Linked DNA regions of Rattus norvegicus. The protein of the gene in region 1 purifies or fractionates together with the protein of each later gene. This does not show direct contact. Links are inferred from orthologs where the notes say so. Each region holds a gene or a part of one and is shown in the gene's direction. Other genes may lie near its edges.

Region 1 (4,052 bases):
GAAGACTGTGTCTTCCTAGCCATGCGTCCAGGTAGATCCACAGCCTTCTGTTTTTAGAGACAGGGTCTCACAACATAGTACTGACTGGCAAGGAACTACTTAAGTAGACCAGGTCGGCCTCATATTGATCATTTTGCTTTTGTTCCTTTCCAAGCGCACACCAGGCCGACATCAATATTTTGCAAAGAAGTAAACCAAGGTGTAGCCAGCACTCTTCCCCAAATCTCATATAGACCCCGTAATCAGGTTCAATATTAGTATTCTACGCTTTCTACACAACCTATTCTCGGTAAAAGGAAGCAGGAGCTAGCCTGCTTTTCTCCAGCCCTCCTTTGGGAGACTGCCTTCCCTGAGACTTGTCTAGGGGCTCGATCTGCAGGAGACGCAACCTAATGAAGCACTACTAAATGTAAGGACCACAGCCTGGGTGTCACCGAGGGGAGCCCGCAGAGGACCAGGGCTCCTCATAGGAAGGCTGCGGAGGCCAGGGGACACACAGGGCGATAGCGCCGAGAGCCTAAGGAACTGAGGTTCCTTCCGGGACACGCCTCTGGAACCGCGGCGTCCAGCCGCACAACCGTCACTTAGGGCCCAAAGCGATCCTCTGCGACCCGCCCTTGATCCCCACCTCCGCTTGGCTCTTTAAGGGTGGGGGACACGCGCAGGCGTCACAAAGCGCAGCCACCGTGGGGCCTGGCGGGGGAGAAGCGAGCAGGCGGGAGCAAGAGCAGGAGCAGAGTAGAGCAGAGCACAGCGAGGAGGGCGGGGGGAGGGAGGGGCGCGCGCACGCGCACCGGGCCGCTGCCGCTGCGAGCCGCCCCCCTCCCGGCGCGCGCCCCTCCTCCTCCTCTCCCTCCCTCCCTCCCTCCTTCTCTGCTCTGTCGCTCCCGCGGCGCGAGGCGCTCTCGCTCTCCTTCTCCGCCCCTCCCCCTGCGCAGCCGCCGCCGCCGCCGCCGCCGTCCCGAGACCCCAGCGCACGGCGCGCCCTCCCTCGTGCGCCCCTCCGGCCCCCGCGGAGAACGAGAGGGCAAGCGAGCACGGCGATCCCGGGCCGGCTCGGCCCCCCTGTCTTCACCATCGCCTGCCCTCCGCCGCCTTCCTTCGCTTCCACCTCCACTCCCCCCCCCACAAGTAGAGGCCCCCTCCGGGGGGGGGGGAGGCCCGGGGCCCGGAGCGGATTCCCCCAACTCCCTTAGGCCCGCCCCCGCCCGGCCCGAGTGTGAGGAGGGCCCGGGCCGGCCCGCGTCGTGAGTGAGGAGGACCCCGGGCGGGCCCGCGGGCCGTCTGGGGCCTGGTCCGGCCCCGCCAGGCGTGTGAGGACAGGGGCCCGGCCCGGCCCGAGGGCGAGCGGAGGGGAGGGGCCTGGTCCGGCCCGGCCGGTGCGCGAGGACTGGGGCCGCGGCCCCGCACGGCCGCCGCCGCGATGGCCCAGCAGCAGATGACCAGCTCGCAAAAAGCCCTGATGCTTGAGCTGAAATCCCTGCAGGAGGAACCGGTGGAGGGCTTCCGGATCACCCTGGTGGATGAGTCCGACCTCTACAACTGGGAGGTGGCCATCTTCGGACCCCCTAACACCCTCTACGAAGGCGGCTACTTCAAGGTACCGCCACCCTTTCCCGGCCCAGCTTCCCCTGTCTCCGCTTTCCGCCGCTGGCCCGGAGCGTGAGCTCTGGGGAGCCGAGGGGGCTCCTCACCTCGCATCCCCCTCCCCCATCCGTAGAGGCAGGAAGGCCTTGCTCACCAAGTGCCTTTTCTTTGTCATGGGGCGGGGGCGGGAGGCCAGACTGCACCGGGAAATAGGAAAGCCTCTGTGGCTGGGGTAGTGGCTACCGGGAAGGAGGGTTGCCTTTGTTTTGTTTCTCCAGCTGAGGGGTGTGTGGAAATAGAGATGGTCTATCTTCTCTTTCTCGATCCATCCGAGCCTTCTCTGCGCAGGCTGGAACTGCCCCAGAGGGCAGGGTGACCTGCACTTATTGGATTGGACTTTTCTCTTTTTTTGGGGGGGTGGTGTGGGGGAGGAATATTAGTCTGTCATTTCCTATGTGGCTGGTGCCCTGACATTTGGAGGATTTGTTGGTCTTGGGTAGTGGTAGTTCAACTTTTGCTTACTGTAGGTGGTAATAAGGAAGAGGACCCTGGGGGTGGCCAAAAAAGGGAGGGTGGTGTGCTGGCGTTGTCTTTCTGTTCATCCGCTTGAGGGGACTTCAGTTTAGTCCTCTTTTTTGCCCTCGTTTTCCCATTTACTTTATAGTCAGTCTCTGCTGTTGCCAAAATGCCCTTTGTCCTTTCCTACCGAGTTTACTAGCAACCCCCCACCCCCCATGTACAAACATCCACAAAGGGTGGAACACGTCAGGCAGATGGATAGTTTCCCACTTTAGGGAGACAAGATTAAAAGCTTTTCCTTAGGTGGTTGTTAGCTCCAGCAAATGGGGTCGTCCCACAGATGAGCCGCATCCGAGGTGACAGGGTTTCTCGTGGTGGAGTGGTTCCTTAGGCAGCCACTATATAGACATTGTTTCTATTGTTTTCCATGAATTATTCCTGAGTTCAGTACTTGGAGATACTGAGTTGTTTTTTTTTTTTTTTTGTCTTGATTTGACTGAAGCGTTTTTTGTTTGTTTGTTTGTTTGTTTTGGGAGGGTAGAATCCCTGAGTGAAGATGGAGTAGGGGTAGAGACAGAGGAAATGGGTGTTTAGGAACCCATTTATTTTTTTATTTTATTTTATTTTATTTTTTTTTTTTTTTGGTTCTTTTTTTCGGAGCTGGGGACCGAACCCAGGGCCTTGCGCTTCCTAGGTAAGCACTCTACCACTGAGCTAAATCCCCAGCCCCAGGAACCCATTTATTATTTTATTTCCAAAATTAGGTAAAATAGGCCAATGAGTCAATTTTAGTTTGTTTTGAAGGGAGGGGTTATCTTGGCACAAGTTTTAAACGAATATCTTAGTCATGTAGTTGTGATGTGTATTTTTAGGACTACCCAATTACTTAACTCTTATTTTCTACCGTTCAAAAGCCTCAAGTTTCAGGCTTTAAACTGGGTCAACTTTGTTGAAAATAGGATTGATAGGGAATGCTTAACATTCGTGCATGTGATAGTTGCTGAATACTTAGTAAAAGGACATTTTTAGAGTGTTATGTAAGAGTGTGGTATCCTTACCAACTGTTTGCTTCATCTTTTGTGGTCAGCATGCAGCTATGCTTTTTAGATGCAGGTGCTTAAAGTGACTAAGTGAAGGTTCAAGTTTATTCGTGAAAGATTGGAAGGTATTGTTCCATGTTGAGGTGTGTTATATGCACTGTCAGATACAAGTTTTAATTTGTAGATATTGGGAATATTGCACAAAGTGGAGTTCATGAGACATTTCCTAGAAAACATCTTCAAAGCAGACTACTGATTAATTTTAAAGAATACAGTTGTTTATTTGTTTTTTGCTTTTTTTTTTTTCTTTCGACAGGGTTTCTCTTTGTAACCCTGGCTGACCTGGACCTTGTTCTGTAGACCAGGCTGGCCTTGAACTCACATAGATCACCCTATCACCCTGCCCCTGCCTTCCAAATTCTGGGATTAAAGTGCCACTGGGCTTAAGGATACAGTTTAATTTCCAAAAAGTAGTATTTCTGGAACAATTGATAGTTAAGTAAATGGTAGTTAATCTCCTATTGGAATTTGTTTTTAAAAAGCTTTGAAGGTAAGACTTCCCTTTGCTAATGATTTGGAATTGATAAAATGGGAATATTCCTTGTAGCATATACTAATTTAAGGTAAAGCCAGGCAGTGGTGGCTCACATCTCTAATCTCAGCACTCTGGAGGCAAAAGCAATTGGATCTTTGAGTTTGAGGCCAGCCTGGTCTACAGAGCCAGTTCCAGAATAGCCAGGGCTACACAGAGAGACCCTGTTTCAAACAGCAGCAGCAGCAGCAGCAGCAGCAGCAGCAACAATAATAAAATACTTTGGGCTAGGACTGTAGGTTAGAGGCAGAATATCTGCCTAGCTTGCATGATGCTCTGTTTTTTAAACTCCAGCAACACACATACAACAAAAT
Region 2 (4,226 bases), on another chromosome or scaffold:
CTTTGGAAATGGGAAGAGTTCTAAGTCATCCACTTTACAGGGGCAAAGAATTGAAACACACTTGAGAAGCAGGAAAGCTTCTCAAGTCACTGCTACTGTGAAGTGGGTTGGGTACAATGAGCCAGGCCCTCGAGATACACGATAATAGCCAGAGCTTGGTTTCTACAGCCAGATCTCCAGTAAAACATAAACAACTTCACAGACCATTAACATTAGACAAGGCCACAGAACGGCCTTATCTTATGGATCAAGACAAAAACAAGACCACTCCATAATTACTCGTGAACACAGATAAAACATGAACATTGTCTAAGCCCCTGACACACGGCTACAAGAGGCTGTCATCAATTACTGGATTAGTTTCAATCTAATATAACTTCCCATAGATAAGGTGTCCAACCTTATTACCCCCACTTCCTGGCAGTATGCGCTCCAGAGCCCCTTCAAATCCTTTTCTACATTACCTAATGTCTCTTACTGAGACGTCCATGATTCATCGTGGTGCATGTTCTCTTCTAGTTCAGCTAAAATAAACCCACCTTGTTTAACTACAGCGTATTCCTGGGGGTTTTTGGTTTGAGGGTACTGACAACTTGGAGGGCACACAGAGTTAAGAGGAAGAGTTCACTGGAAGTCTCTAGATGTGTTTCTTCACAGCATTTCTAACTCTTGGTGAATGTCTGCTGTCTTCCCATTAGAATTAAGCTTCACGAGAACAGAGGTCTCGCCTGTCATTTCCAGAGCTTAGGGCAGTACTAGTAGCAACGGAATGCTTAAAAATGTCTTCAAAATGATCAGCTTCTTTCTCATGGCTCAGCTACTTCCAGTGTAGCAGCTCTCCATACATCTGTTTCCCAACTCAAGCCTCCAAACTTTTCCTCTTGAGATGTCCATCTTCCCTTGGTTGGATCTTCGGGCTCACAGACCCCTCCCACACCTCCTGGTGCAACCTCGGACCCACCTGTCTCCACCATCTGTCCCTACCAAGTGTAATACACCGGGCGGCCGCGCAAGCACCTAGACGACCAGTGGGCACTGCAGACAACTACTGCGCATGTGCGGAAATCGGTCGCACCGCAAAGATCTCAGACAAGTGAGGAGTTGCCTCGGAGTTTCCGTCCGGGTCCGGGCAGCCACCCGCTGCCAGGAAGTCTGGAACGACCAACCGGAAGGAGACCGCGCGCGCGAGGATTTCTGGGACAAGTAGTCGCGGCGCTCGCGAGGCCCTATCCCGAGCAAGTCCTAGATACTCCAGATCTGCATGTCCCCGCACTCCCAGCCCTGCCCTCCCCTAGGTGCTCTCTCCCGTGGCGGAACCCTGGCAGAGTGGCCCGACGGCTTCTTGTTCCCATAAGGCTTAGCGATCCGCCGCGGTTGTTGGGAGTTGTAGTCTTCGCCGTGCGTCCTGCGTCCGCCGAGGGGGAGGGCGGAGCTGCCGGCGGCCCGGGCGGGCTGGCAGCTAGAGTGGGTGCCAGAGCTGCCTCCGCCGCCGCCGCTGCCACCGCCTCCTCCGCCCGGGCCGTTCGCTGCTGAGCGGAGAGAGCGAGGCGGGGCCGCCGGGGCCGCCATGGAGCCCGACTCGGTGATTGAAGACAAGACCATCGAGCTCATGGTGAGTGCGGCCCGCTGGCCTTCAGTTCTTCCGGCCGGCCGGCGGCCCGGGGGCCTGCCCACCTCGGCGTCCGCGCCAGGCCAGCCCTCGTTCCCCGTCGCCTGGGCCCGGCCGGCCCCCTGCTACGGCTCGCTGCTGACGCCTCGCGCTCTTGGGCCGGCCCGGCCTCCGCTCCCCGCGAACTCCCCCACCCCCTCCCCGCTCCTTGCCGGGCTCCGACCAGTCTCGGGCGCCCCTGCCTCGCTCCTGCCGGAGCCACCGCTCACTCTCGCCTTGCCATCACACTGTCTTTTTAGAAGGGGATTTCTTTTTCCCTTCCCTGGATTCCTCTGCCAGGCCTGCATCGCGCTTCCCAGCCCCGCTCAAGCCGAGGGTGATGGTGGTGGGAGGTTGTCCGAGACCAGTTGGAGCCGCTTCGGCCTCCGTAACCTAGGCTTAGGGGGTGGGGTGGCGGTGGGTCTCAGCACCCTCACCCCAAGCTACCGCTGTGTGGATGCCAGGATAGGCCCTTCAGGACTGGGATGTTGGGCATGCCCACGAGTCTGAGGCTGTAGGGGATAAGGGGCCTCTTTTCCGAGCCCCTGCGGTGTCAGGCTTCTTGGACAAAGGGTTTCCTACCCTGCCGTGAAGGATGTTTGTATAGCAGGGCCCTAGGTACTCAGAATTCCATCCCCCAGAAAAGGAAAACCATAACTTTATCATTTGGGAAATGAGAGGGGAGGGAGAAGAGGTCGCCTTCATCACTGCCACCCTCTTTTCTTTTAATAATAAAAAGCGGGACGGTGTGTGTGTGGGGGTGTTCTTGACCCACCGAGAAGCAGCGATCCCTTTACTGTTAGAAACCCTTGGTAGCCAGGTTGGTCAGGTCTTCCCGGACACCCCTAACCCATTTCTGACCTCAGACTTGGTGCTAGAAAGGTTTTTGGAAACAGGGCTGTGAGTGAATGGCTGGGAAAGTGAAGGATTTGCTTATTGGTGGAAGAAATAAAGTATGGCTGGTAGTACCTGCCAGTTTGAACGTGAGGGAAATCAAACTGGGCCCAGGAGAGTTGGGGACATAAGAAAGGCTTCTTCCTGTGAAAACCTTGACAGTTTCTTTGTATCTCTACTAATATCGTAACAACTAGTATCTGCCGCACAGTACTGAGGAAAGGTGAACGATCTACTGAACTTAGCAATGTGTTTTCCTCGTCAGAGTTTCTCCAGTGTGAAATGCTTATTGAGTCAGTGATTCCACTGGGTAGGGTTGGTGACATCAGAGCCACTTCCCCCATTTAGTGCTATAAATAATAAATGGTGATACTGAAAGTCTGTTGGATAGCCCATGGTTTTTGTGGATGATGTTGTCCAGGGAGCTAAGGTACACGTTTAAAATGGAAGTAATAGTAGCATAACTACAGAGTCTCATGTCTGCTGGACTCAGCACAATGTGCAGAACTGGATGGTTGAAAAATCAAACCTGGAAGTTTCTGGGGTGTGTGTGTGTGTGTGTGTGTGTGTGTGTGTGTGTGTGTGTTCACAGGGATTCTGTCACTTTATCTTCAGGTTCTGAGGACCTTTTTTCTTTTTCAGCATCCAATTGTCGGTTGTAACAGTTTGGGAAACTTTAGTAGTCCGTTATTTTGACAAAATGTCTTTAAAACGTGCCTTATGTATTAATGTGAATTCACACGTGCACCACAGTGGGCCTGTGGAGGTCAGAGGACCATGTTGTAAAGATTCTCTTCTGCTTTTACCTGGGTTCTGGGACTTGAACTCATTTCGTTCTGCATGTATGATCACGTGTCTTTGGTTGAGCCATCCTGATGACCTCTTTTTTGGCAAAGTGTCAAAGTATCTTCATGTATGAAGATACATGTTCCATCTTCTTAAAGACAAAACAGTATATCTGCTTTCATAATGACCAGTGCTTCATATGAAACATATTCACTTAAAACAACCAAAATGTCTTCTTTTTCAGGAGAGTTAGAAGAAATACAGTGTAATTAACCTCAGGCATGGTCTTTTAGCATATGACTAAAGAAATATTCTGGCCCACACTTACTGGTTTTCTAAGCTTATAACTGTTTTGTTTTGAGTAACTGTTAAGGTGCTGGGGTGCACCTTAGTGGTAGAGCACATGCTTCCTTAGTGTCCATAAAATCCTCATGGCTGGGTTAGACTGTGTGATATTGTTTGCCCTTACATTGAAGAGATGTCACCTAATGAAGACATAAAAGGGATTTAATGTAGGATTCTTAGAAATGTAATAAAAAAATGTGCCAGGCATGGTGGCACATGCTTTTAATCCCAGTTCTCAGGAAGCAGAGACAGGTGAATCTCTGTGAGTTAGTCAGCCTGGTCTACAAAGTGAGTTCCAGGACAACCAGAACTACACAGAGAAACCCTGTCTCTCAAAACCTAAACAAATAAATGAAATCCCCCAAACCAACCAAAACAAAGACCAAACAAACAAAAAAACCACAACCAACCAAAAGTCAGTCTCAAACCCCCTAAAGATTGTAGTGCCGAGGCCTGCATTGCTGGATCTGATTTACTGTCTATGCGTATGGCTCGTTGCTTGAGTCATTTATAAGGTGTGCAGCTACAGTTTTTCCAAATCGTTGGTACCTGT

Evidence for each region. The genes of interacting proteins can lie anywhere in the genome.
Region 2: the proteins of Ube2r2 (region 1) and Fbxw11 purify together in Homo sapiens (affinity purification with mass spectrometry; 4 studies listed by BioGRID and IntAct, with this or other methods). This does not show direct contact. The link is inferred for Rattus norvegicus from reciprocal best matches to the Homo sapiens genes UBE2R2 and FBXW11.

What each region holds. Positions count from the first base shown.
Region 1 is NC_086023.1:61,081,304-61,085,355, forward strand, and holds the start of Ube2r2 (ubiquitin-conjugating enzyme E2 R2), read left to right. Parts: upstream 1-1,248; 5' UTR 1,249-1,423; coding exon 1,424-1,600; intron 1,601-1,741; exon of another isoform or gene 1,742-1,946; intron 1,947-1,990; exon of another isoform or gene 1,991-4,052. UniProt on the Homo sapiens protein: E2 ubiquitin-conjugating enzyme that accepts ubiquitin from an E1 ubiquitin-activating protein, and catalyzes its covalent attachment to other proteins by an E3 ubiquitin-protein ligase complex.
Region 2 is NC_086028.1:17,735,774-17,739,999, forward strand, and holds the start of Fbxw11 (F-box/WD repeat-containing protein 11), read left to right. Parts: upstream 1-1,423; 5' UTR 1,424-1,567; coding exon 1,568-1,612; intron 1,613-4,226.